Notamacropus eugenii: one gene and its partners. The protein of the gene in region 1 interacts with the protein of each later gene in a pairwise test. Links are inferred from orthologs where the notes say so. Each region holds a gene or a part of one and is shown on either strand. Other genes may lie near its edges.

The links.
Region 2: the proteins of FHL2 (region 1) and ZNF131 interact in binary tests that used the Homo sapiens proteins (3 or more experiments, as listed by UniProt). The two-hybrid records come from large-scale screens. The link is inferred for Notamacropus eugenii from reciprocal best matches to the Homo sapiens genes FHL2 and ZNF131.
Region 3: the proteins of FHL2 (region 1) and KIAA1217 interact in binary tests that used the Homo sapiens proteins (3 or more experiments, as listed by UniProt). The two-hybrid records come from large-scale screens. The link is inferred for Notamacropus eugenii from reciprocal best matches to the Homo sapiens genes FHL2 and KIAA1217.

Annotation. Positions count from the first base shown.
Region 1 is NC_092877.1:200,474,511-200,482,636, reverse strand, and holds the start of FHL2 (four and a half LIM domains protein 2), read left to right. Parts: upstream 1-4,600; 5' UTR 4,601-4,690; intron 4,691-8,126. UniProt on the Homo sapiens protein: May function as a molecular transmitter linking various signaling pathways to transcriptional regulation. Negatively regulates the transcriptional repressor E4F1 and may function in cell growth.
Region 2 is NC_092875.1:416,848,224-416,856,483, forward strand, and holds the start of ZNF131 (zinc finger protein 131), read right to left. Parts: upstream 3,332-8,260; 5' UTR 3,272-3,331; coding exon 3,168-3,271; exon of another isoform or gene 3,128-3,167; intron 3,124-3,127; exon of another isoform or gene 2,880-3,123; intron 2,660-2,879; coding exon 2,520-2,659; intron 1,423-2,519; coding exon 1,321-1,422; intron 1-1,320. UniProt on the Homo sapiens protein: Plays a role during development and organogenesis as well as in the function of the adult central nervous system. May be involved in transcriptional regulation as a repressor of ESR1/ER-alpha signaling.
Region 3 is NC_092874.1:64,821,772-64,830,180, reverse strand, and holds the start of KIAA1217 (sickle tail protein homolog), read right to left. Parts: upstream 3,332-8,409; 5' UTR 2,242-3,331; coding exon 2,031-2,241; intron 391-2,030; exon of another isoform or gene 1-390. UniProt on the Homo sapiens protein: Required for normal development of intervertebral disks.

The DNA.
Region 1 (8,126 bases):
TCAGGAGGAGAAAGTGAGGCTGGTGACCTGCAGAGCCCTCCCTCACTCCAAACAAAGTCAAGTGCAAGTCATGTCATCATTTCTCTGATGGCATGGTCTTCTTCAAAAATGAAGGATGAACACATACACATTTGGGAAAGGGGCCCATCCTTCATTTCTCTATCAGCTATGTTTCTAAATCTCCAGATTTAACATTCCCCAGACTGGGTATCTTTTCTATTACAAGTTAAGCTCCTTGAGGGCAAGGACTGCTTATATCTTTCTTTGCACCCTTGGCATATAGCAGAATGACTGGCACTTAATAAATGTACTTAATAAAATTACTTAATGAAATACTTAATAAATGCTTAATAAGCAATAATGGCACAAACCTAAAAGTGTCTCTCTACTTACCTGAGCTTGATAAGGTTGAAGTGATTTGACCACTGTCACAGAGCTATTGAGTCTCAGGGCTGGGACTTGAAGTCCGGTCTTCTGACTCAGCATCCAGTGCTCATTCCATCATGTTTCCTTCTCTGGCTAGCCATTGAGCCTAAGATTCCACAATTCAGAGTTAGTCTGCACACTGTACTAAAATGGCTTCCCATATTCGTCTCTCCTCCCACATCATTCCAAAGTGATCCCCAATATATCTTTGTACTTATAAAAGTTGAATTTTCAAAGTCAACCAGTGCAGGAATTTATTTCTCTTGATTATGCATATTTGTTGCAAGAGTTTTAGAGTTTGTTTTTTTTTCTTCTGGAGCAGAAGCAACAGGGGGCTAAGCATAGAGTTGCCATAAACAAAGACAAGAAAAGAGGGTCATTTAAGCATTCTTCCCTGTATTTTTTAGTGTACAAAATAGAACAGAAAGAAAACCAGAAGAAATTTTAGATAAGCAGGAGAGCTTTGTTTACTATATATTTAAAAAGAGAAGTAAACCGTACCTAATAGAGTCATGGTTTCATATTATATAATTATATAAATTATAAATTATACTCTTCTATTCTACTGGGTAAATGGAAGTGATAATTGTACTTGGTGTTTAAGTTCAGAATTTAAAAAAAATTAAAATAAATACCAATAGATTGTAAGCTTTTTGAAGAGTAGACTTCCTGTTGTTCTTACCATCACCACCACCACCAAAGAAATTACCTATGTGCCCATGTTTCTCACATACTTCTTTGTGTACATACTGTTTCCCTTTGAGTAAGTGAAAACTTCTTAAGGATAGGCAATGTTTAGTTTTTGTTTTTGCACAATGCCTGGCACGTAGCAGGTGCTTAATAAATATTAATTTATATATATATGTGTATATATATGTGTATATATATATATGTATATATATATGTATATATATATATACATACATATATATATATTATAGTCCCAGAACCTGGAACAGTGCCTGGTACATAGTAAATAGTAAATATTTCATGCATTGGCCACACTGACTGGTCAGTGCTATAAAAATTATTGAACTCATTGTGAAAATGATCATTACCTATCTTTTAGGGAAATGATATCAAACTTCCCTCTGCCAGGAAAATTCTCCAGTACTTCTGGAGTCAGATAAAAGTGCAAATGGGACATATATAACAAAATAAATAAAAATACAATCCAATATAGATAATGTTAATTTGTGATTTTCCAAGTCAAGCTACAAGATTCATTTCTATTTGAGTTTGACACCATTGTTTTAGGGCATAGTGTCCTCTCACCTAGATGGATATGACTTCCATTCCAACCCTCATCTCTTCATCTTCCCACCCATATGGGAAGGAAAATGACTTGTGTCATATGACCACACTTAAAGGAGCACTCCTTAACTCTTAGGTGGATTGTATTGATGAGGCAATAAATTTTAGTAGAAAGAACTCTGAGTTTTAGTGAGGGAATCTGGGTTCAAATCCCAGATCTGCCACTCACTATTTGTACAACCTTAGATAAGTGTTTTAACCTCTGGTCCTCTTTCCTCATCTTCCAAAATGAAAAGTTTTCTGGGGCATGGTAGAGAAAATCCAGAGTACAATTTGGAGAGAAATGAGACGTGGCTGGCTTGGGCACCCTCCTTAAATAGAAGTTCTAGGAGGAGCCATCCTATCAGAGAGAGAGGTCAGAGGAAGGGAGGGTACTTATGTTGTATGAATTCCAGGCCTGGAATGAGCATTCAGGATGAAAAGGCTTCTCAGGCACAGTAGAGAAAGTTCAGAGAGCAGTCTAGAGAGGAATGAAAGGAAAATTTCCCTGGCAAAAAACCTAGCCCAGCTCCATGAGTGCATGAAATTTTCCACTCCATAACACTGTTGGGTAGCAACAGCATTAGATGTGGTATGAGTTAATGATAATCCTGGGGACTTAAGGCACAGCTCATCTTACTTAACTCAGCCAGTGCCTTAATGTATAATCTTAGAGAAGTCCAAAGTCATTTAACTTCCCTTTTTCTCTTATGCTCTTTCAAAATTTGGGGGAAATTATACCTTCGGTTGGATTGAGAAGTAGAACTCAGATCCATCACTAATTTGTATGAGCTTTAGAAATGTATTCAAATTCAAATGAAATAGGCAAAAATTACCATGCTTTTTGGAAAGGGCATGAAAATTCTTGTTAGACACATGGAAAGTGGTACTATTATAGTTGTTGTGACGTATATAGTCAATGGGCAACTCTTTCATGCCTATTATCTTCTATCCTTTTAGTCTCCTGTCTTCTGAAATAAGTATTGTGAAATGCTTTATGTGAGTGCACTTTTCAAAATTAAATAATCAGAGTTGTTTATGATTAGCTATTGGGGTCAAATGCTTACTTCAGCATTTCCAGGATCTCCAACTAAACTACTCTTTAGATGACAGCCTATCAGCAGCTCTTCTACGGTTCTCAATTCAATTCACCAAGCATTTAAGTTCCTATTATGGACAAGGCAATGCATTATTCCCATTATCAAAGGTGATGTATTAGAGTAGATAGAGAAGCCTACTTACGGTGATAATCATCTTTCCGTTTTTCTTTCAGTAACCTTTAATTTTAATTCTTTTGAAATTGGCATTCCATGATTCTCAGACACATGACAGTACTGGGAATTTTTTTTTTTTTTTGTCTAAATTCTTGGAGTCAGAAAGACTTGAGTTTGAATTCTTCCTCAGATACATATTAACTGTGTCAACCTGGGCAAGTCACAACTTCTTTGTGCTTCAGTTTTCTACCCTAGAAAAAGAGGGAGTTGGAAGCTGGTAGCCTCTGAGAACCCTCCCAGCCCTAGGTTCATGATCTTATGAAGATTTTTTAGCTTTATAGGACCTTCTAGAGCAGATGTGTTAAACTCAAATAGAAAGGGGGACCACTAATCCATACATCAATATATTGACTTTAAAAGTCAATGTTCTATTGTATTTTTATTTATTTTATTTTTTATAAATATGTATATATATACATATATGTAATATATTTATTTCATTAAATATTTCCCAATTATATTTTAATTTGGTTCAGGCAGGACTCCCATGTTGCAGACCACAGTGTGTTTAATACCTCTGTTCTACAGCATGTATTCAGCTGCTATAACCCAAAAGAACCCAGTCTTACCTCCTTAACACCATGAGGCATCAAAGGGAAGCATGAAATAAAAGTAAATGATCACAAAAAGTCACTCTTTAAATAATATCTGGACTGATGTAATGTCTTGCAGTAAGTTAAATTGTAGTCATGGTTAGATAATTTCTGGCCCTGAGGTGAAGGATGTAGTCAGCTTTTAATAAGTGCTTATCTATTGACTGAGAGGCACCCTATTAGCATTCCACCACTCCTACCACATGCTCATTTTTATTTTGTCCTTCCTTTTTCTCTTTCTCCTTCCATTCCTTTCTCTGAAAGCCTTTCTCTCTCCCTTTCCTTTTCTTCCATTTCACCTGTTTCTAGCTTAGGCTTAACAGCAATACACAAGGTCTTCTACATTGACTTACATACGTGGAGCTCAGGAATTACAAACATACTTGTTGTTCATTATTACTGCCCCCACTCCCCCCACAGGCTATCCAAGGGTGTGATGCCAAGATTTTCACGATGTGAATCTTCTCATGAGGATTAAAGAAAGTCTTGTGGGGTAATAGTTTCAAGAACAGGACTTGAAAGCTCACCACTAGAAGATGATGGAAGAGCCCTCACTGATGCCACAAGTGTTTTAGGGTGACTGAGTCAAAGGTACTTCCAGTTCCAAGCTACCTCTAAAGGGCTGACTTCTGAAGTTATCCCTGGCCCTCCAAACCTGTAATATGTTCCTGACACACCACAGTTGTGGCAATCTAACAGTCTGTCATAGGCTTGATAAAGCTGAAATTCTCCCCCTTCCCCAATATCCCCCCTCCACTTTGCTTGCTGAGTTATTTACATAGGACAAGTGTGTCCTTGGACTGAACTGACCAAAAGGGGAGCCTGGCAGCCCCCTGTCATTGGAAAGTCTGAGCTGTCTTAATTCAGATGCCTTAAAAGGCTTCCATAGCTGAGGTGCTTCAGTTCTTATCTTTTGTGGATGGCTGTTCCTTTAGTGATACTGTATTTATAGCTCCCTCTGGCAAGAGAAGACCTGTCTAATTACTAAAGACATAGTTAGGAGTAATCCAATAAAGCAGTAAACCCCTGCACTGGCTGCTGTCCTCTCATTTCAGGCAAGGGAGCCGACCAAAAGGAGCTACCACTGACTGGGTTGTAGCCGAGGTAAGGACAAAATGACTTGATCCACAATAATTTCTTTTCCCCTTCCTTCCTCTCCGGTTCCTGGGCTACCAGCAAGATAACAAATACTTAATGTGGGGAAGCTTTGATGTTTAGGGAGGAGAGAGCTTTAAAAACTGTTAGCTTTCCCTTCAGCCGTTTCTGCCTACACAATGTCTCTTCATGCCAGTCTGGGACTGCCATCCAGGTGCTAAACAGCTGGGCTCATTATGCAAAATCCTGTCCCTCTGCAGACTGTGCTGAAAGAATATTTTTCCTTCCATGTGGACCATTCTTCCCATTCAAATAGAAAATTGCATGGAAAAGGGTTTGGGTTTTTGGGGGGTTTTTGGCAAGGGGGTTTCTTTTTCCTTTTTTGCTTCACATACACTGAATATTTGGAAACTGGAAAATTCCGAAACAATAAAGAACAACAAAAAAATAGGGATGAAAACCTCCATATTGCATTTGAGGCTTTGCTCCGTGACAGCATTTCCTGATGGCCTGCGGGTGCCTCTGGGTGAAAGGCAAATCACTGATGAGACTGATTACACACTGGGAAAGTATGTTTAAACAAAACGACTTGTTATGGCTTATAGTATGAAAGCACAAATAGCTGTTGTGGGCTTTCCAAAAGGAAATGCAGTCACGCTTTTGCAGTGGACTCTGGCCTGATGTGCCTAGGACTGAGTCATGAATGCAAGAGCCCAGCCAACGCCTTGGCACCCCATGTTGGTTGCTTAGTTACTTTTCCTCAGAAGCCAGGCAAGTGCTATTTCTTACCTCCAGTCTATGAAAGAAAGCAGTTTGTGGAACCCCTTTAGGATGTAAGTACTGGGGGCCAAGTCTAACCCCTGCTTTGTAAAGCAAGTCATATTTCGTGAGATTTTAAGTACTTGTATTTGTGCTTAAGAAATGTTGGGGGAGGGGAGTTGACTAATGGTAGATCTACATCCTTGTAATAAGTGCTTGCTCTACAATGGGGCTCATGGTCAGATATGATAAACAAGAGTTTATGGCAAACAGAATGTGTTGTTCAGCCTTTCAGTCGTGTTCAACTCCTTGTGACCCCATGGACCATAGCACACCAGGCCTTTCTATCCTTCTTCATGTCCTTCACTCTCAAAGTCTCTCCAAGCTCACGTTCACTGTTTACATGACACTATCTATCCATCTCATCTTCTACCATTCCATTTGCCTTTTGCCTTCAATCTTTCCCAACACCAGAGGCTTTCCCAATGAGTTCCATCTTCTCGTTATGTGGCCAAAGTATTTAAACTTCAGCTTCAGTATTTGATCTTCCAGTGAACAAAGTGAATTAATTTCTTTGAGTATTGACTGATTTGATCTCCTTGCTGTCCAAAGGATTCTCCAAAGTCTTCTCCAGCAACACAATTTAAAAGCATAAGTTCTGTGGCGCTCAGTTTTCCCTATAGCCTAACTCACAGCCACACGTTGCTACTGAAAAAGTCATAGCTTTGACTACATGGACCTTTGTCAGCAAGATGATGTCTCTGCTTTCTAGCACGCTGTCTAGATTTGCCATAGCTTTCCTTCTAGGGAGAAAGTGTACTTTAATTTCAGACTGCAGTTACTGATTGCAGTGATATTTGAGCCCAAGAATACAAAACCTGACACGAGTTCCGTTTCTTTTCCCTTATTTGCCAGGAAATGATGGGACCAGTTGCCAATATCTTAGAGGTTTTCTTTTTAATGTCAAGCTTCTAGCCAGCTTTTACACTCTCCTGTGTCACCCTCATCAAGAGGCTTAATCTCCTTCACTTTCTGTCATCAGAATGGTATCATTTACATATCTGAGATACCTTAATTTCAGCTTTTGATTCATCCGGTCTGGCATTTAGCACAAACGTATCTATAAAAACATGCATATGCGTATAACACAGTATGTTCCAAATGTCTTAGTGCAGTTGTCAGCTTATTAAAGTTTAAATTGCACTAAGACTTTTGGAACATTGTATAACAAAAATAATTTACAACACACACATATGCTACATTATTATACATTATGATAATATAGTATGCTTTCTGTGTACACAAATGCATTATAGTACATAGGTATATGGCCAGACTAGACCATATGTAATTTATAAATTACAACTATATTTGTGACAAATCTAACCTACATGTATTTGAATTTCACAAAATTTAAGTGTAAAAATTAAATTGTAGTCAGTGTATTTTAGGGTTGCTTCATACTTCAATATTAAATTAATCAGAGCCATCCTTCCCTAAACCATTCTGAATAAATGAGAGTTCACTAATCCTGATGTAGAATCTCAAATTCAAAATCAAGTTAGCTCATTGATATTCAATAATATTAATTTATCACTTTCTGGGTTTTCAAAGCACTTTATATATGTTATCTCATTTGATCCTCATTTAACACACAGAAAGAAAATTGCTCCAGAGTACTGTGAAGCTACTTCTACTCTAGCAAAATTATCAGCAAAAAAAATGAAAAAAAAATTAGTTTAGCAATTTTTAGATTAGTCTATATGACACCAAGCATCTAACTTTATTGATTTGTTTTCTACCCAGGTTAATTTGGCTTCCTGTAATTGTACTCTCAAAGGTCTTTAAATCATGGTTGGACAATTAAAAGCAGCAATAACATGTGCTTTGAAGAATTTGGTATTTAACAGATGTATTTTATAAATGTCATGCTATTTTTTAAAATGCTATCTTGTAAAAACAAATTTTTTTTCTAACAGAGAATTTTTAGAACCTGAGGCTGTTAACTTTTTCTAAACTAGAAAGATCATTTTTAAGTTTGAGGAGTAAGGATAGAGAAAGAAAAAACTTTTTATTCATTTTAATAGCAGTCTTTTCCTCTAATTAATAACTGATGATGGAAAAATGGTCAAATGAAATCAGAACAAGTTAATGTCATCATCAAGCCATTCAAATAATTCACATAAGCTATGTTTATGTGTTTCCAACATACCTATGAGTATTAAGAAAAATACCTGTAGTAGAGAAAAAGGAGAGCTAAAATGCATATTGAGGATATAGCCAAGGGAAAAATACAAAAATTCCATTTTGGTTTGCAAGCATTTTGCATTTCTTTGCATTGTGACATCTAATTAGAATGAGAGAAGGTAGAAATATCTGAACTAGCTGTGGGGAGCCATTTGTTTTCACAAGGGATGAGTTGTAACTGTGTTATGTTTGCTGCTTGGGCTCCTAAGCTGCTTTCTCCTAGGTTGATCTATCTAGATCAATTTCAGTAATGTCAATCTGTGGTTTAGTACAAATACAAAATGAAGGACGATAGGATGCTGGTTTAGTCTATTTCTTCTGAGACCAGCTGCATGTTTCCCAGAGCTCAAAAATGTTGATATCAGTATTATTCAACAATCACTCCCATAAGTTCCAAATTTTCTCTCCTTCCCTCCATACTCACTCCTCAAGATGGCAT
Region 2 (8,260 bases), on another chromosome or scaffold:
TTCTTCAGAACTACCTTACGTCAGTTGAGAATCACCATTAACTTCTCACTTTTCCTCATCCCGCATATAAGTATGCCAGATTCTCCCTCTGCAACTCTCGCATCCTGCCCCTTCTCTCCATTCATATGGACACCAGTGTAGTTCAGGCTTTCACCACTTCTTATCTGGATGATCCCAATAACCTCTTAATTGGTCTCCTTGCATCAAATCTTTTCCTTCTCCAATCCATACCTAAACTGCCCAAATGAATTTCTTAAAGCATTCCTAAAAGTCACTTTCTTTTCACTAAACTTTGACTTATGGTTTCCAGGATTATCAGACTGACTCTCCTTCAGTCCAGACCAAGTGGCCTTGCTGTTCTTTACATGTGACAGTTCAACTCCTGTTTTTGGTGCCTTTGTACACATCTTGAATGCACTCCCTCTATAGACCTAGGCCTCTTAGAAACCCTATTTCATTCCTCACTGACCTCAAGTGCTACTTCCTATATAAAGCCTTTTCAGATCTCCCAAATTATCTTCCATTAACTTTGTAAATATTTGTGATTATACATATGTGTGCATGTATGTATGTAATCTCCTTTGATAGAATGTTAGCTCTCCGAGCATAGGGATAATGACTATATTTTTTGTCTTTGTATTCCTGCCACATCGTATATGCCTGATAAATGCTTGTTAACTAACAGGTGCAGAAGCAAAGACACACAGGTAGTACAACTACTTTTCATTCAAGTCAGAATCTGTATGATATCTGATCCCTTTTTTCACTTTGAACTTTCTGTATCCAATTTATCCTTTGTCACACCTTACACATGGCTGGTCTCAATTTTCCTACAGTAGACTTTTACGCCAAGTTAAGATTATGTATGTTTTCTCTGAAGTGTTAACTTCTACCTTTGCTAGTTAACAGAATGCTACTCAACACTTGAGATAACTAGCAGCATCACCACAATTGCAAGAAGGAAATTATGCCCTCCAATGATACTTGACAAAACTATCATTACATAATCACATTTCATATTGCCGACTAGCAAGAAATGTCCCAGCTGACTAACATTTTAATACACATTTTCACATCTCACCACCACACAAATAACGTCCGTTAGTTTCAACAAAGGTTAGAACTGTTAATCTAACAGTTATTGTTCCTTTAAGTGTCAGCTATTATACATAATGCAACGATTTCTACTCAATTGATCATTTTTACCAAACACTTTTAAAGTAAAACTCTCAGATAACTACTGGTGTCAAAAAGTTCAAAATCTCTTCATCACTGTATAGTTCACTTAATGCAAATACTGAACTGAAAACAAGAATTTACCTTCTATTTCCACCAAAGGTTCCTGAGTAAAGTCTTGAAAGAATTTGTAGAAGAACTGACTGCAAGCAGCCAGAACAGCTTTGTGGGCTTTAAAATGGTGACCTAAAATCAACAAAAACATATAAAATACAATCCAGTTTGAAAAATAATTCAGTGGGGGGAAAAAGGACCTTTTACTTGTAATCTTTGAATTCAAGTCAGGTCACTATCCTTTTTACCTGGCAAACATTTGTACCTGGAATGGAGAACAAGAGAAGTCTTTATTTCAAGACTTTAAGAGATTTATAAAGGTCATTCTCTCTGAGCTGCATAAATGTTGATCATTTAAAATGAAAATACTTCTGAAAGGAAGCATGACAGATGTTTACTAGCCTCCAACATTTCTGATTAAGCAGCAAAGGGCATATCATATTTAGTTGAAACTGCCAGAAAGAAAGAAAAGCTCAACCTTAAAAGTGTATAGTTTCATTTTGAGAGGGAGGTAGAAGTACAAGCTTTGGAAAGAAGCATTACTTGGCTGGGTAATGCCATGCCTTTGCACCAGGAAGCTTAACATCTACACTTCTTAAGAGCTCATGCTTAGACTTTGGCAGCCAGGATGTTTTGACAAAAATTGGTCCATCCAAATGTAATAGACAATCATAAGGAGCCTGCTTTTTTAATCTGTTTACTTTTCACTCACACACAATGCACAACAAGATGAAATGAACCAAAAAGGGAATGGTGGAGGGCCCTATGGGTCCCACCAAATGAGGAAGATTTAAATGCTGCCAAAAATGTTGGGTTTTTTTTAGAAGAACAATTAAGATGGATGTAATATTTCCCAAAAATGGATGGAAGGAATTCCTTCAAGGGACTGCTTCTCTTAGAGCAGCTTAAAAACTGAGGTACATGTAAAAAAGAAAAACATTTAAGCAATCTTCAAATGCACCCTTCTGACAAACCTCCCTGAGGCCTGAAAAGAGTAAAGCGTTAGGAGTACTGGGTTTCTTAGAAATTGTGACAAGAAAACAGTTCAGAGCATCAGGCTGTCTGTCAGACACAGCAAGTGACCTCAGAGCTCCAATTCACATCAATTAAAGCTGGGGAGGGGGTAACTAAAAGAGAGGAGGGAAAGAAAGGTAATCAAAAAGGAGATGAGGTGGGGGTCAACAGATGGAAAGGGAAAGACTCTGCCCCCAGCAGTGGCCAGCACCTACCATCCACTATCAGAGTGATGTCAGTAAACTGGTCCTGCTCCCGCTGCTCATTCAATCGGTCCAGAATCATTTTGTGATGTTCAGGAAACTCTTGAATGCATTCCATCGTCTCTTCAGCCTCCATGGCCAGGCGAGCTGCTCTGCAAGACAGTGGCACGACACCCTTCACCCCCACCCTCCCGACGGCGGCCCCGCACCCGCAGACGCCGACCCCCACCACCAGCACGAAAACCACCCACGGGGCGGGAAGGCGCGGCTGCGGGGAAGGCGGGGCGGGGGGCCGTGGGCCCGGGGCGCCCCCGGGCCGTGGAGGAGCAGCAGCGGGAGCGGAGTGACCCCGCTCAGAACTCCCAGCCTGACCTAATTGGAGCCCTCCTGGGCGGGCGGGCGGCGGGGCTGCCGGGGACCAGGGGGCTCGTGGGTCTCCCACAGAGCAATTCCAGGGCGGGAGCGGAGGGCTCCGGGCGAGCCGCTAACGGCCCACCAAGCCCTATCCGCCAGGCCCCGGGGCTCCCGTCGCGCCCGCCGGGGACCCGGTCCGGCCCGTGGCCCACAACGACTCCTGGGTCTCCTCCCTCCTCCCCCGCCCCGACCGGGCCGGCGCTTACACAGGGAAGGAGGAGCGGACCGGGCCTGGACGTCACTTACGTCAACGTGCCTGCGTCTGCACGTCGGACGTCGACGTCCTCGGAGCGCCGGCTGGGACAGGAGGTGGAGGGGCGGAGTGAGGAGAGGGGAAAGAAACGAGACATAGGCCACGCCCTCTCCTGCCTCCCGGAAGGAGCTGGCGCCGGCCCCCAGGCCCGGGGAAAGGGGAGGGGGAAGCCTCCGGGATGTCTGCGCAGGCGGGACCGGGGCTCGGGTCCCACGTGCTCGGTGCGCGGCGCCCATGGGGAGCAGCTGCCGTCTGCGTACCCCTGAGAGAGATCAAGCGGGCGGATGCCTCCTTCGCTCTGCGCCCCCACGGAGCTCTCTCCTACCCGTCCCCCAGCCTTCCAGCTCCTAGGGACACGTGGGAGCCACGGACTGTCGGGCCGAGGGCGCAGCGCGCCCCACCTCCACGCACCCCGCGTGTCTGTAAGCCGCGGCCCCTTCGCGCCGCGCACCCGAGCACTCACGCCTCCCTTTGCAGAGCTGCTTCCCTTTGGTCGCCCCCCCAAACTTACCAAGAATTACGTACCTCCCTCTCCCTTTAGATGACTCACTTCCCTCTTATTCCCAAGAGTTTTTCCTCTCCTTCCCCCCAGAACTTGCCTCTCTCTGCCCCCCTTCACTGCCTTACTCTCCCGGATCTTACCTTCTCTTCCCAACAATCCCCAACACTTTGGCCCCCACCTAAGCTTGTGGCCTTTCTTCTCCTCCTCCGCTCTCTCCAAGCCGCACCTGTTCTCCCACTTCACACACGTGCGTGCCCAGCTCCCCCTGACCGCCGAGCTGCAGGAGCCAGGAGCGCGCACCGCTCCCTCGCTGGGAGCCGGGAGAGCGAGCACGTTCCTGCCGCCTGGGGCTCTCGTCGCCCAGGCTTCTGGGTCTGAGAGCAGATGCTTCTGCCGGATCCCCCTCCGCTCCTCGGGCTGCTGCCTCCACCTAATCCATTTACGACACCTGTCTCAGGCCTCCCCCAGAGGCTACAGTAGAGCGAGCACGAGGCCCATCCTTTCACTCTACAATTCCGCTTAACAAACGATTGCTGTGTATTTTCTCTGTGCCAAGCGGAGGAAAAGAAGAATAATTCTTTATCCTCAAGGGGTTAACATCCAGTCAGAAGAAACAAGGAAGTCCTACAGTGTCAGGCCAAACGGTAAGTGACCTTAGAAGTGAAAAGCACAAGGAGGATTTTTTTTTCCCATTCTAACCCCCACTCGAGAAGAACTCACTAGGGTGCCTTACCATTTCTGCTCTAACTTTCAAACACATTAAAACCTCATTAAAAATGGCAAAATGTGCCTTTTCTGAAACGTTTAAAGTATTTAGCAAAAGCCTTTGCAGTACTCAGCTTGTGGTATTTAATGTTAAAGTTGTGTGTTATTGTATGTGAATCTGTTGATTGTGAAGAAAAATTAAATAGAAACAGTACATTAGTGCTTACAGAGTTAGTATGCTTATAAGAAGAGTTTTTTCGCATAGAATGGGAAGGTCAGATTATAAATTGAAAGAAAAATATTTTTATTAAAAAAAAAAAAAAGAAATCCATCCCCAAAGGATGTATCCCCTATCAGTTGGTCATTTCCCCTTCTAATGATGGGCAAATTCTGGACTTCAACTCCCCTTTATCCTTTTGGTTCAGAATCAACATCTGCTAAGGTGAAAATCCTCTCCCCATTCTGTATTTCCCAGGACCATATTACCCTCTGCTCCCCCACTGGATTGCACCCATTGAAATCCTTTCTTCCCCTTTATTCTAGTTCTTTTTACTCTGTCTTATACCGAAGAAAATGGATTCTTTCCTAGAAGACACACATTGCATCCGTAGCCAGTTTATTACTGGGTGAACCTTTTATGCCCTCAGAGGCCCTGGGCTAGCAAGAGGAAGCATACTCCTCACTCCGGTTGCCACTTCCAAAATGCACCTTTACTCCCATCACTCATCACTTCCTTTGAGGTTCACTCCATCTATCTTTGTTACCTAGTCCAAATCTGTCATAGTCGTCTGCCAACCTCCAGGTTATTTTCCTTCCATTTGGCAGTAGTTCAGTAGCTGAAAGCCCATGATCTTTCTGCCCCAGCCTCTGTTTTCCAACTTGTAGACTTCAGCATGTATATCAGTGTCCACTTGACCACCCTGGCCTCTCAGTTTATCAACCTCTTAAACTCCCATGTCTTTCATCAAACTCAGGGATGAGTATACCCCATGATTTGATTATATCACCCATAATTGTTCCACCTTCATGATCTAGAACTCTGAAATCTCATCAGTCAGAACATGGCCTCCTATAATTCAGTCTCTCCTGCCTCACAAACTATTTATCTTTACTGTGACCTCCATTTCCCTCCACCTCCCACCCCCATCCTTTTCTCCCTGATCATCAACCCTCCCCAAACCTCCTTTCTCTCCCTTCACAGCCTTGACCAGTACAGCCATACAATAGTAGCTACCATTTAGTCCCTTGTTCTGTCAGTAGTCATATTTTGCCAGACCCCAACCTTGGATTACCCACACTAGCCACCTACCCAGTAACCTCCAGTGTCTCTCTGTTACCTCCAGGATCAAATATGAAATCCCATATTTGGTTTTTAAGGGCCTTCACAACCTGGCCCTTTCCAGTCTTCTTAGACCTTACTTCCCCCTCCACAATTGCTCTACAATTCAGTAGCACCGTGCCTCCTTTGAACAAGATTCTCCATCCCTCGACTAAGCCATTTTCCTAGTTATCCCTTATACCTGCAATACTCTACCTCCTCACCTCAGCGTACTGTCTTCTCTCTGCTTCTGGAGGCTGGGGTTGAGGCTGGTGGATCACTTGAGTTCCAGAATTCTGAGCTGCAGGTAAAGTTAAAGTTGATCAAGCATCCACACTGATGTGGTAGATGACCAGTGTATCCACCAAAGTGGATAGAGTGGTGGGCCCAAAGTCAGGAAGACTCATCTTCCTGAACTCAAAACCAGCCTCAAACATTTACTAGCTATGTCTGACCCTGGGCAAGTCACTTAACCCTGTTTAACTCAGTTCCTCATAAATGAGCTGGAAAAGGAAATGGCAAACCACTCTATTTTGCCAAAAAACACCAAATGGGGTCATGAAGAGTTGGACAAGATTGAAGAACAGTGAGCCCCTAGGACGGGAGGATCCCCAGGCTGCCTAAGGAGGGGAGAACTGTTCAGAAGGAGAGTAGGTTAAAGCTCCCTTATGCATCATGCTTTATGACCGGATACAGTATGTCCAGCCTGGGTGAGATAGGGAGAACCCATGTCAAAACAAAGACATCGGATATCCCACCTGCAAGAGTCATTTCTTGGTCTCCTTCCTCCCCAGTGCCTTCTCCTCTGAGATTCCCCACCATTTATACTGTAGATACCTTGTATGTTCATATTTAGTTACGTTTCCCCATTAGAAAGTGGGCTCCTTGAAGGCAAGGACTTTGTCTTTGCTTCTCTTCGAATCCCTAGCTCTTACCACAGTGCCAATAAATGTTTGTTGACTGACCAACTCACCCTCTCCATGTTTACTCAGGTGCTGCTGAACAACAAATGAAGAAAGCCATGTAACCTCACTGGGTCCTCTCCAGGTTTATGTTACATAATTTCAGCTGGACACTCCCTGCTGCACATTAATCCCGACTGATCCTGTGACATTTACACAATTTCACTCCTCAGACTTCCTACACCTACTGCCACCCTGCCCCTTAGCAGAGAACCTCAACTCCTCCTTTGCAGGAAAAATAGGGACCATTCATAAGATCCTAAACCCTTTGTCATCCCTCTTTTGCTCCAGTCTCTAATGAGTTGGTGGACCTTCTTCTTGCTAAAGTCAGTACCTTCACTTGAATTCTTGGTCCTATCCCTTCCAGTCTCCTCCAGGAGACCTCCCCCCATTCCTTCTCTTTCTCTTGTTTTCAGTCTGTCCTTACCTTCTGGCTCCTTCCCTTACCACCTATAAACATGCTTACTTCTCTTCTATCCTTAAATCTTTTCTTGACTGCTATTCCTCCAACCTTTTTCTTCCTTCCCTTTTCACAGAATAAGCCTTCTGTAATGCTGGCCTACTTTTTCTCATCTCCCATTCACTTCTTAATCTCTTGCATTCTGATTTTTTTTTTATCCTACCACTTGACTATAACTACTTCCTCTGAATTTGCAAATACTGTCTTAACTGCTGAAAATCAGTGGGCCTTTTTTTTTTTTTCCTGAGTTCGCATCCTTCATGACTTCTCTGCAGCTTTTGGTACTTTCAGCTACCCTTCTTCTGGGTACTTTTGCCTTGTGTGACTTTCTCTTTTGGTTTTCCCTCTGTCTGATGGATCTTTCTTTGTCTTCTTTCCTAAATGCTCTTCCTGCCTTTTAAATGTGGGTATCTTTCAAAGCTCCATTTGGGGCTCTGTTTTTTGTGTACTCCATCCTTTGGCAGTCTCATCAGTTTCTGTGGGGTTCAGTTGACAGTTCTGTGCAGATGACTCCAAATAGATATATTTAGCTTTAAAAATGCCAGATTGTAGTCTCATAGGATCATAGACCTTGGTCTGAAGGAAACTTAAAAGTTATTATTTCTAATTCCATTTTTCAGATGAGTGAACTAAGGTTGAGAAGCTAGATGGCACAGTGGATAGAGTGCTGGCCCTGGAGTCAAGAGGACCTGAGTTCAAATCCAGCCTTAGAAACTTCCTAGCTGTGAGATCTTGGGCAAGTCACTGAAGCCCATTTATATTAGTTTATTTACCTATAAAATGGCATGGAGAAGAAAATGGCAAACTATTCTAGTTTCTTTGCCAAGAAAAGCCCAAAAAGAGCTCACAAAGACTCAGATATGACTGAAAAATGACTAAACAAGAAGTGAAGTGGGAGAATTGAAGTGACTTGCCTAGAATCACACGGGCAAGTAAGTGGAAGAGTCGAAATTCAAACCCAGATCCTGTGATTCCAAATCTTGAGCTCTTTCCACTCTGCCTTGAGTCTCCCTGAGGTTACCAGCTTTCTACCTGCTATCTCCATTTTGGATGGAGAGGTCCCAAAGGTACCTTAAATTCAACATGTCCAAAACAATATTAATTATATTTTCCCTCAAAACCTGCCCCCCTTTCATCCT
Region 3 (8,409 bases), on another chromosome or scaffold:
AGACTGGAGGTATTCTGGAACTAGTATCTAACCTTCCAAGGTGAGTACAGTCAAGGAATTCACTTATTTGGATGAGTAAATTCAGATAGGTTTGCTTGAAAAATATACATTTGATTCCTTTATAATCACCTCATGTGTGCAAGTACCCTGGAACTGCGGGGCAGTCTTCAAGTTTAGGTGCTGTTTTTCTTTCTTTCTTTCTTTTTATAGGGTTTTCTGGCTTTCACACACATCACAGCATCAAAGAAAGTTTCCCTTTTCTGCGGCCAAATCTAGTCTGTTCTGCAACTGACTGACACTTTCTAAGCCTTTCCCGGCTGGTTTCGACATTTGCCTTTTACACAGGATGGCAATTCTTGAGGGCTTTTTTTTTTTTTTTTTTTTTTTTTTTTAGTACAAATACATCACTCATCACACTAGGTAAGAAAATGTGTCACCATTTCTTTATACACATGCAATAAGTTATACTAAGGGGAAAAAATAAACTTTTTCCCAAGATGGAAATGTATACCTTTGAAGTGGAATGCAATGGGGAAAATCTATAGTTGCCAGTTAAATCACACTGTATTTTTTTCTATTTATGCTCTGCTCATTTTAACAGAAAAAGGTTCTGACTTCAAATTGCACTGGATGCCCCGCATGTCTGGAATGTATTCCCTTATTCATTCCGCCTCATAGAATCTCACTTTTCCTAGAAGATAGAGTTCAAACACCATGTCCTATATAAAACCTTTTTTGATCCCCCAACTGTTAATGTCCTCCCTCCCAAACCATCTTGGTACTACTTTACACAATTTGCTTGTATGTATTAATCTCAGATTTATTCTATATATAGCATATATCCAAATAGACATAAAATACGCACATCTATGTCAATATCAGTGTCAATATCTCGATCTCTATGCTTCTTGTCCTTCCCATTAGAAGCAAGGCTGTTTTCATTTTCAAGTAGAGCTGTTTCATTCTTTGTACTTGTATCCCCTAACCTGGCTACCACAGCGCCTGGCAAGTAGTAGGGACTTAAAAAGTACTTATTGACTAATTGATTGTATTCTGAGGGGAAATAGTGAAATAATTAGAATGGCATTTTACGTTTGAAAAATTGACTTCAAAGTCACATGCTTGTGCATAGAATACAAATAACATCATTTAAGTCTCGATAAAAAAATTCTTGTATTAAAATGATCAGCGCTTCTTGGTAGTCACTCTTATTAGAGTTTTTAATAGAATAGAGAAGCACCAATGAATTTTAACCTTTTCAACCTGGCCTCTGTTGCCTCCACCATTTATTGGACTACAATAACATGTAGGTGATCATTTCAGAAATGCATTGACTTTCGGAGGTTTCTTGGGGAGACCACCTCTTGGATGGCCTCATCTAGGCATGTGCTTGACAAGTGAGATATTCCTACAGAACCCTGATTGTCCTCATTTACATTCCTGCACAATATTTAACGACGCCCGCAGGATTCCTTTGTACTGCTTGGCATAAAGTTCCATCGTTAGATTATTATTCCATATAGTAACTCATTTTTAAAAGAGGCTGAGAAAAAATGCAAATCTGTATAAAAAACTCTCAACTAGTTAATGAAGTATATTAAAGGGCTCCCCCACCCCATTTTTTGTTTCTTTTCCTTTCAGTCCATTAGGCAATAAAAAGAAACTTTGGGTGACTATGGCTGGTCTAGGAAAAGCTGTTAAATATAACTGGAGATGTAATCAGTCATTCCAAAGGAGAAGTATGGAAGTATCAGTTATATACACTTTCCTGACTTCATTTATTTTACTGCCCCTTGATTAACTACGGAATTTTTTTTATTACCCACCTCTTGCCAATAATTGGCTATTTTAGTGACTTGCTTTGGAACTTTTAGACAACAAGAAATTACATGCATGCACACAGATAACTTCCTGAAACCAGAAAGTCCAACTCATTTAAGATACCCAGTAGTATCATTAAGCCAGTAAGTAAGCTGAAAACCTTCCAGCTGATAGACAAGGGGACCCGGGAGACTGGCAGCAAACATTACCTTTGCATGAACGAGCCTTGCCTGGAGCGGTCGTGGCTGCAGTTTGCACCTGCTGCTGTTTGCCCAGACCTCCTTCACTTCCAATTTTCAAATTCTTCTCCCCTAAACTGTGCTTTTTCTGCCTGCTGTCCTGCTCGTCCCTCCTAGGTAATGGCAGCTTAGAAGCTGCATTAGCTGAGAACGGTCTAGCCAAGCGAGAAGGCTTGGACATCGCGAATCAGCGGGAACATTACCTGCTGGGCCAGCAAATTCTGCAAATCCTCTGGGCTTTTTACTTTGCAACTGACCCAGGGAGAGGCTGCTGGATACAAAGTCCTGGCTTGCCAATCCGTTCTCTTTTAAACAAAAGGCACGGTGCAGTCACACAGACAGTGTGCCAGACCTGTGGAATGTAGATGTGGGCTCGGGGAAAGCAGCTGACGGTTCTGCGATGGTAAATGCTCCAACTCCGAGGCAAAAACAGATGCTGGGCTCAGAAACGTTCATAGCGCACACGCCTCCTGGCATGCACAGACTAGACACTGGGCAGCCTTCAAGGGGGATAAGAATGTAAACGTTACCCCACCCACTCAGGTGAGATAATGAAAAAGAATCCAGATGTGGGGGGAATATTGCGGGAAATATGCAATTACATGGTACTTCCAGGCATTGGCTCAAGCACATATCTCCTCCCCTTAATAAACTTTTGCCATCCCCTGGCTGACTATGTACCTCTGCCTGCCTACATCATTATTTCAGAGGAGAAGAATAAGGTTAGGCCTTTCCCCTCCTCCCGTTGGTGGTCATCACTGATCACAATGGATAGGGCACCATTGGGGATCATAGGGATCTGCCAGGAGGGGAGGGGGTGTAGAGTAGTTGAGGCTGGAAAGAGCTCAACTCCAAACTGCAAAAATACAGTCACAAAGAACTAAAAGTGTCAGAGGCAGGATTCAGGTCCAAGTCTCTGCTAACTCTAGGCAGTGGTCTTTGTGCTTTATCAAACTCCCTCTCAAAGAACATGTGAATGATAGTCGATATTTAAGTTTGCTGAGCACTTTATGAATATATTATCTCATTTGATCCTCACAATAGCCCCACAAGGGATGAGTTATGGCTGTTCTTATTGTTCCTTTGGAGGTTAAATGACTTGCTGATGTGATATGGCTACTACTTATTAGAGGAAGTATTCCAAGCCAGGTTTCTATTGACTGCAGGTCCACTGTTGTTCCTGTCAAATTATACTACCTCTCAATGACCAAATCAATGCTAAGAGTAACTGACTTGCTTTATATATAATAACAATAACTGCCATATGACTACTTCATATACATAATCTCACATAATCTTTTTATAACCATCTTGTGAGATCAGTCATGCTATTCTAAGTTTTCAGATAAAGTTTAAGGCCTTGCCCAAAGTCAAACATCTGCTAAGGACCAGAGGCTGTGCAGTGATCTGTCCCTCAAACTACACTGGCTGTTATCATGCTTCCTCAGAAAGCAGTGTTAATTATATTTATATACATATATATATGGTGTTTTAAAGGATCATATGAGTCCAGTTCTAAAAAATTCATTTCATTCATTTAATACATAGCTTGTATCAAGAATACAAAAACTCTTTACTATGAAGGATAATTATTTTCTTTTTTAGCTTCTCAGTGATTTTATTATTTGGGGTTAAGCTTTTTTCCAAACTCAATTACTCTATATTCCCTTAGGGAGAGTCTCTTTATAAACTATAAAAAGGTTCAGGAAATATGTGATTACCAAATACCACTCCAAACGTAAACATCATGCTATTTCCCTTTTATACTGGATAAATTTACTCCTGTTTAGCACTGTTTCAGGTGAGATATACTTTATCCCTAAGCCTTCCACCCTGTTAAATGAGCCCTTCTGGGTCATCCCACTGGGACTGGACTCTGCCCTGGGGTTAGGTAAGCTTTGTACTCATCTTTCATTTTGCAGGTGATCTAGAGGAGCTAGGCTAGAAGCACAGGGCATCCTTTCCATTTCCAAACCATGTTTGCTGCACCCTGGCCATTCCTCCCACCACAACTCACAGTTTTAGTGTTCTCACAGGTGAGCTTTTACCTTATCTTTCTCAGAACTAGGCCACTAGGACACATTCCTGTCATTTCCAAGCCCTCCCACCTCAGGAGCACTGCTTTCCCACTTCCAGCTTTCCTTCTTCCATTTAGAACATAAGCTTCTTGAGGGTAGGGTCTGGCTTGTTTGCTTGTATCTGTACAATCAGTGCTTTGTACAGTGCCTGGCACATAGTGCTTAATTTTTTTTTTTTCCCCATTCAGCTTGGCTTGAGTACATATACAGCAAGCCTCTAAGATAAAGATCCCGCATCATGGTAGATGATCCCTACCCTTGTAATTTCCTCACCCTTCAGTTCTACAATCAGGGACATGATAGCTCCTTAGAGAACCCTGCCCACTGCTACAACTATTACTCACTTCAAACTCTGGACATCATCCCTCTGCCTATACCATCAGTCCTCTCCTATGTTCCCTGCCCACTTTGAACCTCTAGAGAAATGGTCTCTAAACCTTTTTCGACCATGCACACCATGGTAAAAGAAAATAAAGTAAAAACTGAGCACATCCTTCCAATGTAAGTGTATGGGTTCTCATGACTCAATTTTCTCCCCACTTCAGTTTATCCTCCACGTAACTGCCAATGTGATTTTTCTTAAGCATAGATCTGAATTTATCCTTCCCCTACAAAATAAACTCCAGTGGCTACCCATTGCCTGCAGAATAAAATATAAACTCCTCTGTTTAGCTTTTAAAGTCCTTTTCCAAGCAGGCCTCAATTTATCTTTCTAACCTCACTATGCATTATTCTCTATCCCATACTCTGCAATTCAGCTCAACTGGCCTTTTTTCTATTTATCACAAATAGTACTTCAATTCTCATCTCCATGCTTTTGTACTGGCCGTCCCTTGTGCCTGGAATTCATTCCTTCTTTACCTTTGCCTTAGAGGAAACAAATCTCTTTTTAGGATAGAGCTCAAGCAATGTCTTCTAAAAGAAACCTTTCCTGATCCCCCACTCTCATCCTTGACTACAACTGTGCGCCTTCTCAAAGAACCTTGTACTTAATTATTTTGTATTTATCTGTAATTATTCTCTTTATATTATTTTGTATACACTTATATGTATTTGTGGTCTTTCTCCTTTAGAGCTAGAATTTTAAAACTTTTTGTTACCTGCATCCCCGTTGGCTAGCATAGTGCTTGGCCATAGTAGTTGCTTTAAAAAGGTTTGTTGATTGACATATTTAATTATTTATAAATTATATACATATACCACTGTAATAATAATTATATATATTATTAAACATAAACATTTTTAAAGAATGGAATAAACCTTGGAGTGAGGGAGATTGAGGAGCAGAAGAAGATACTGAGGGTGTAGGCTAGAAGGATGGTGGCTCCCTCAGCAGAAATTGGGAGGTTGGGAGAGAGGGGGTTTCAGAAGGAAAGATAATACAATGGGATTTTGATACATTCTAAACTCATCCATGTCTGCTTATTCTGTGACATCTACTCTGTCCCACCAAAAATGGAAAGGGGAAGTTGCGGGGAGGAGTGAGGCTTTTACTCACTAATACCTATCTTAGAGAACTGAATCTGACCTTTGAGAGGTATCCACTGTAGCCACCAAGTGATATGGGGGCTAAGAAATGGATATGTTGGGGTGGGACAAGAATTTAGGTTTCCCACATCGACTCATCCACTTCTCTGGGGTCTTAGGTTGCAGCTAAATTATAATTGTCTTGAAAGCCATATTTCAAGTTCAGAAGGAGGCAGGGGAGGAGATGGAAACTATCATTCTGGAAGTAAGCATTTATTAAGTAACTATCACATGCCAGGCATTGAGAATGTGAAGAAAGACAAAAAAACGGTTCTTGCTTGTTTTCAAGGAGTTCATAGACTAATGGGAGTATCAGAGGGAAGGGATGGGAAGAAAGAAAGAAAGAAAGAAAGAAAGAAAGAAAGAAAGAAAGAAAAAAAAAAAGAAAGAAAGAAAGAAAAAAAGAAAGAAAGAAAGAAGGAAAGAAAAAAAGAAAGAAAAAAAGAAAGGAAGGAAAGAAGGAACAAAGGAGAGAAGGAAGGAAGGAAATAAGTACCTACTATGTGGTAGGCACAGTACTAAGCACTTTTCAATATCACAACAACCCTGTGAGTTAGATGCTATTACTACCCCCACTATACAGTAAAGGAAATTGAATCAGAGAAAGATTAAATGTCTTGCCAGCATCACCTCTCTAGTAAATGTCTGAAGCTGGATTTTTATTTGTCTTCCTGATTCAAGGACCAGAGCTAGAGCTGCCTCTAGAGTAGATGGTGTATAAGGAAATAGGGATAGATATGGTTACGCTGGAGATAAACTCTAAGATTGGCTATTGGTAAGAGGTTGAGGTGTTACCCATCTTCATACCCTTTGTTCTGGGTGATCATAAAAACCTCAGGGGCCCTAGTCCACACTCTATTGCCCTCTAGGGTCATATGATTAGAGCTGGCGTAGATATCAGATGGTAGTATGCTAAAACCAGCTCATGTTGGCTCATGAGAGCTGAGTGTGAAATTTATAGTGTGAGCATTTACACCCGAACAAACCCTGAGAATTGGGGCTTGATTTATTGTATTATCAAATTTCTGGACTTAAGAAAGGGATGAAGAAAATGTTAATAATGCAGATTAAACTTAACCCCAAATACATGTGGGTTTTCTGCCCCCCAAAGAGTTGGTTGTTAAACATTTTTTACGAGCATATCCTTGATTTCAGAGGTGATCTAGGGTAAATCTCCCATTTCACAGATAAAGATCTAAGGTCTAGAAAAGTTAAATGACTTGCCTAATATTCAATAGGTCATCAGTGTCTATCTACGTATCTTTCCATATAACCAAATGTATCTTCCATATGTATTTCTATCCTTTTGTTTCTGATCACCAGGAGCTAGAAGCCAAGACAGGGAAAGAATAAACATTTATTAAGCGCCTACTATGCACCAGGCTCTATGCCAAGCACTTGATAAATATTATCTCATTTGATGCGCACAACAACTTTGGGAGGTAGTTGCTATCCCCATTTTTATAGCTGAGAAAAGTAAGACAGATGGAGGTTAAATGACTTGCCCAGGGTCACACAGTATCCCAGGCTGAATTTGAATTCAGGTCTTTCTGACTCAAGGCCCAGTACTCTATCCATTGTACCACTTGGTTACCAGTAGAAAGTAGGACAGGGGGACAGAGAGGGCCATACACTTATGGGCCTGGACAGAATTTTGAATAGTCAGTGGCTTCAAATTCAAATTTCATGTTGTTTTAATGTTTATAGCATTTATCTATTGGTGCAGCTATCACTTAATCTGTTTTTTTTTTCCTTCACAAAGGCATATGAATTCAACTAGGAATACAAACTCACTGGAATAAAAGGAAGACTAATTTGGGGATGTATATGTGTGTACATGTTTATGTATGCATCCATGTGGAATGGTATGTGAGTGTGTGTGTGCGTGTGCGTGTGTGTGTGTGTGTGTGTGTGTGTAGTTATAAACAGCCCATTTCATCAGGGTTTGGGTTTGAGATGGCCTGATCTAATCTATCATCTTAGATTTAAGCAGATTAAATCAAATCATCCCCCACATCTGTGAATACTTATTGTTTTTAAGGACTTTGGTTCTCAGTCGCTTTCTTTGTTGTGCGCGTAGCAATCTACTTCACTCTTTTTGGTAGATACCTATGATTCCATTGTTGTGGGCTACTCCCAGTGAGGAAACATCCTACACCAATTCCTATCAGAACCTGCTTTGAAATTTGTAGTCTTAGAAAGTAACCTTGGGCAGTGAGATGTTAAGGGAAATGTCCAGGGTCCCTCAGCTATATACCTATAGGTCAGAGGCTTTCTTTTACCTAGCCTAACATCTCACCCTCTTTCTGTGGAACAGCAGCATATTTCCCAATAATCTGTAAGCTCCCTGAAAGCAAAGAGACCCTCTTTTAGCCTTGCCTTTTGCACTGAGTAGGTGCTTTGCTAAAAGGTTGCATGTTTGTTCAAATGCATATACTCCCATTTATTCTAACATGGAGATGGGGACCCTATCTCAGTGGAGAAGGCATCTATAAAGAAATTTTCCAGACCTATGTGGAGGCAAAGCCTCAGGTAACAGCAGGGTCTGGTGGTCAGGGTTTTTTGATGATCTGATGTCCTCTTCTATAGTAATTACCCCTGACTGCTACAACCACAAGCATTTATATAGAACTTCAAAGTTTTTAAAGTGCTTTACATGTATTATCTCATTTGATCATCCTGACAACCTTGCAAGGTAAGTGCTAATAACTATCCCCATTCTACAGGTAAGAAAAATGAGGCCG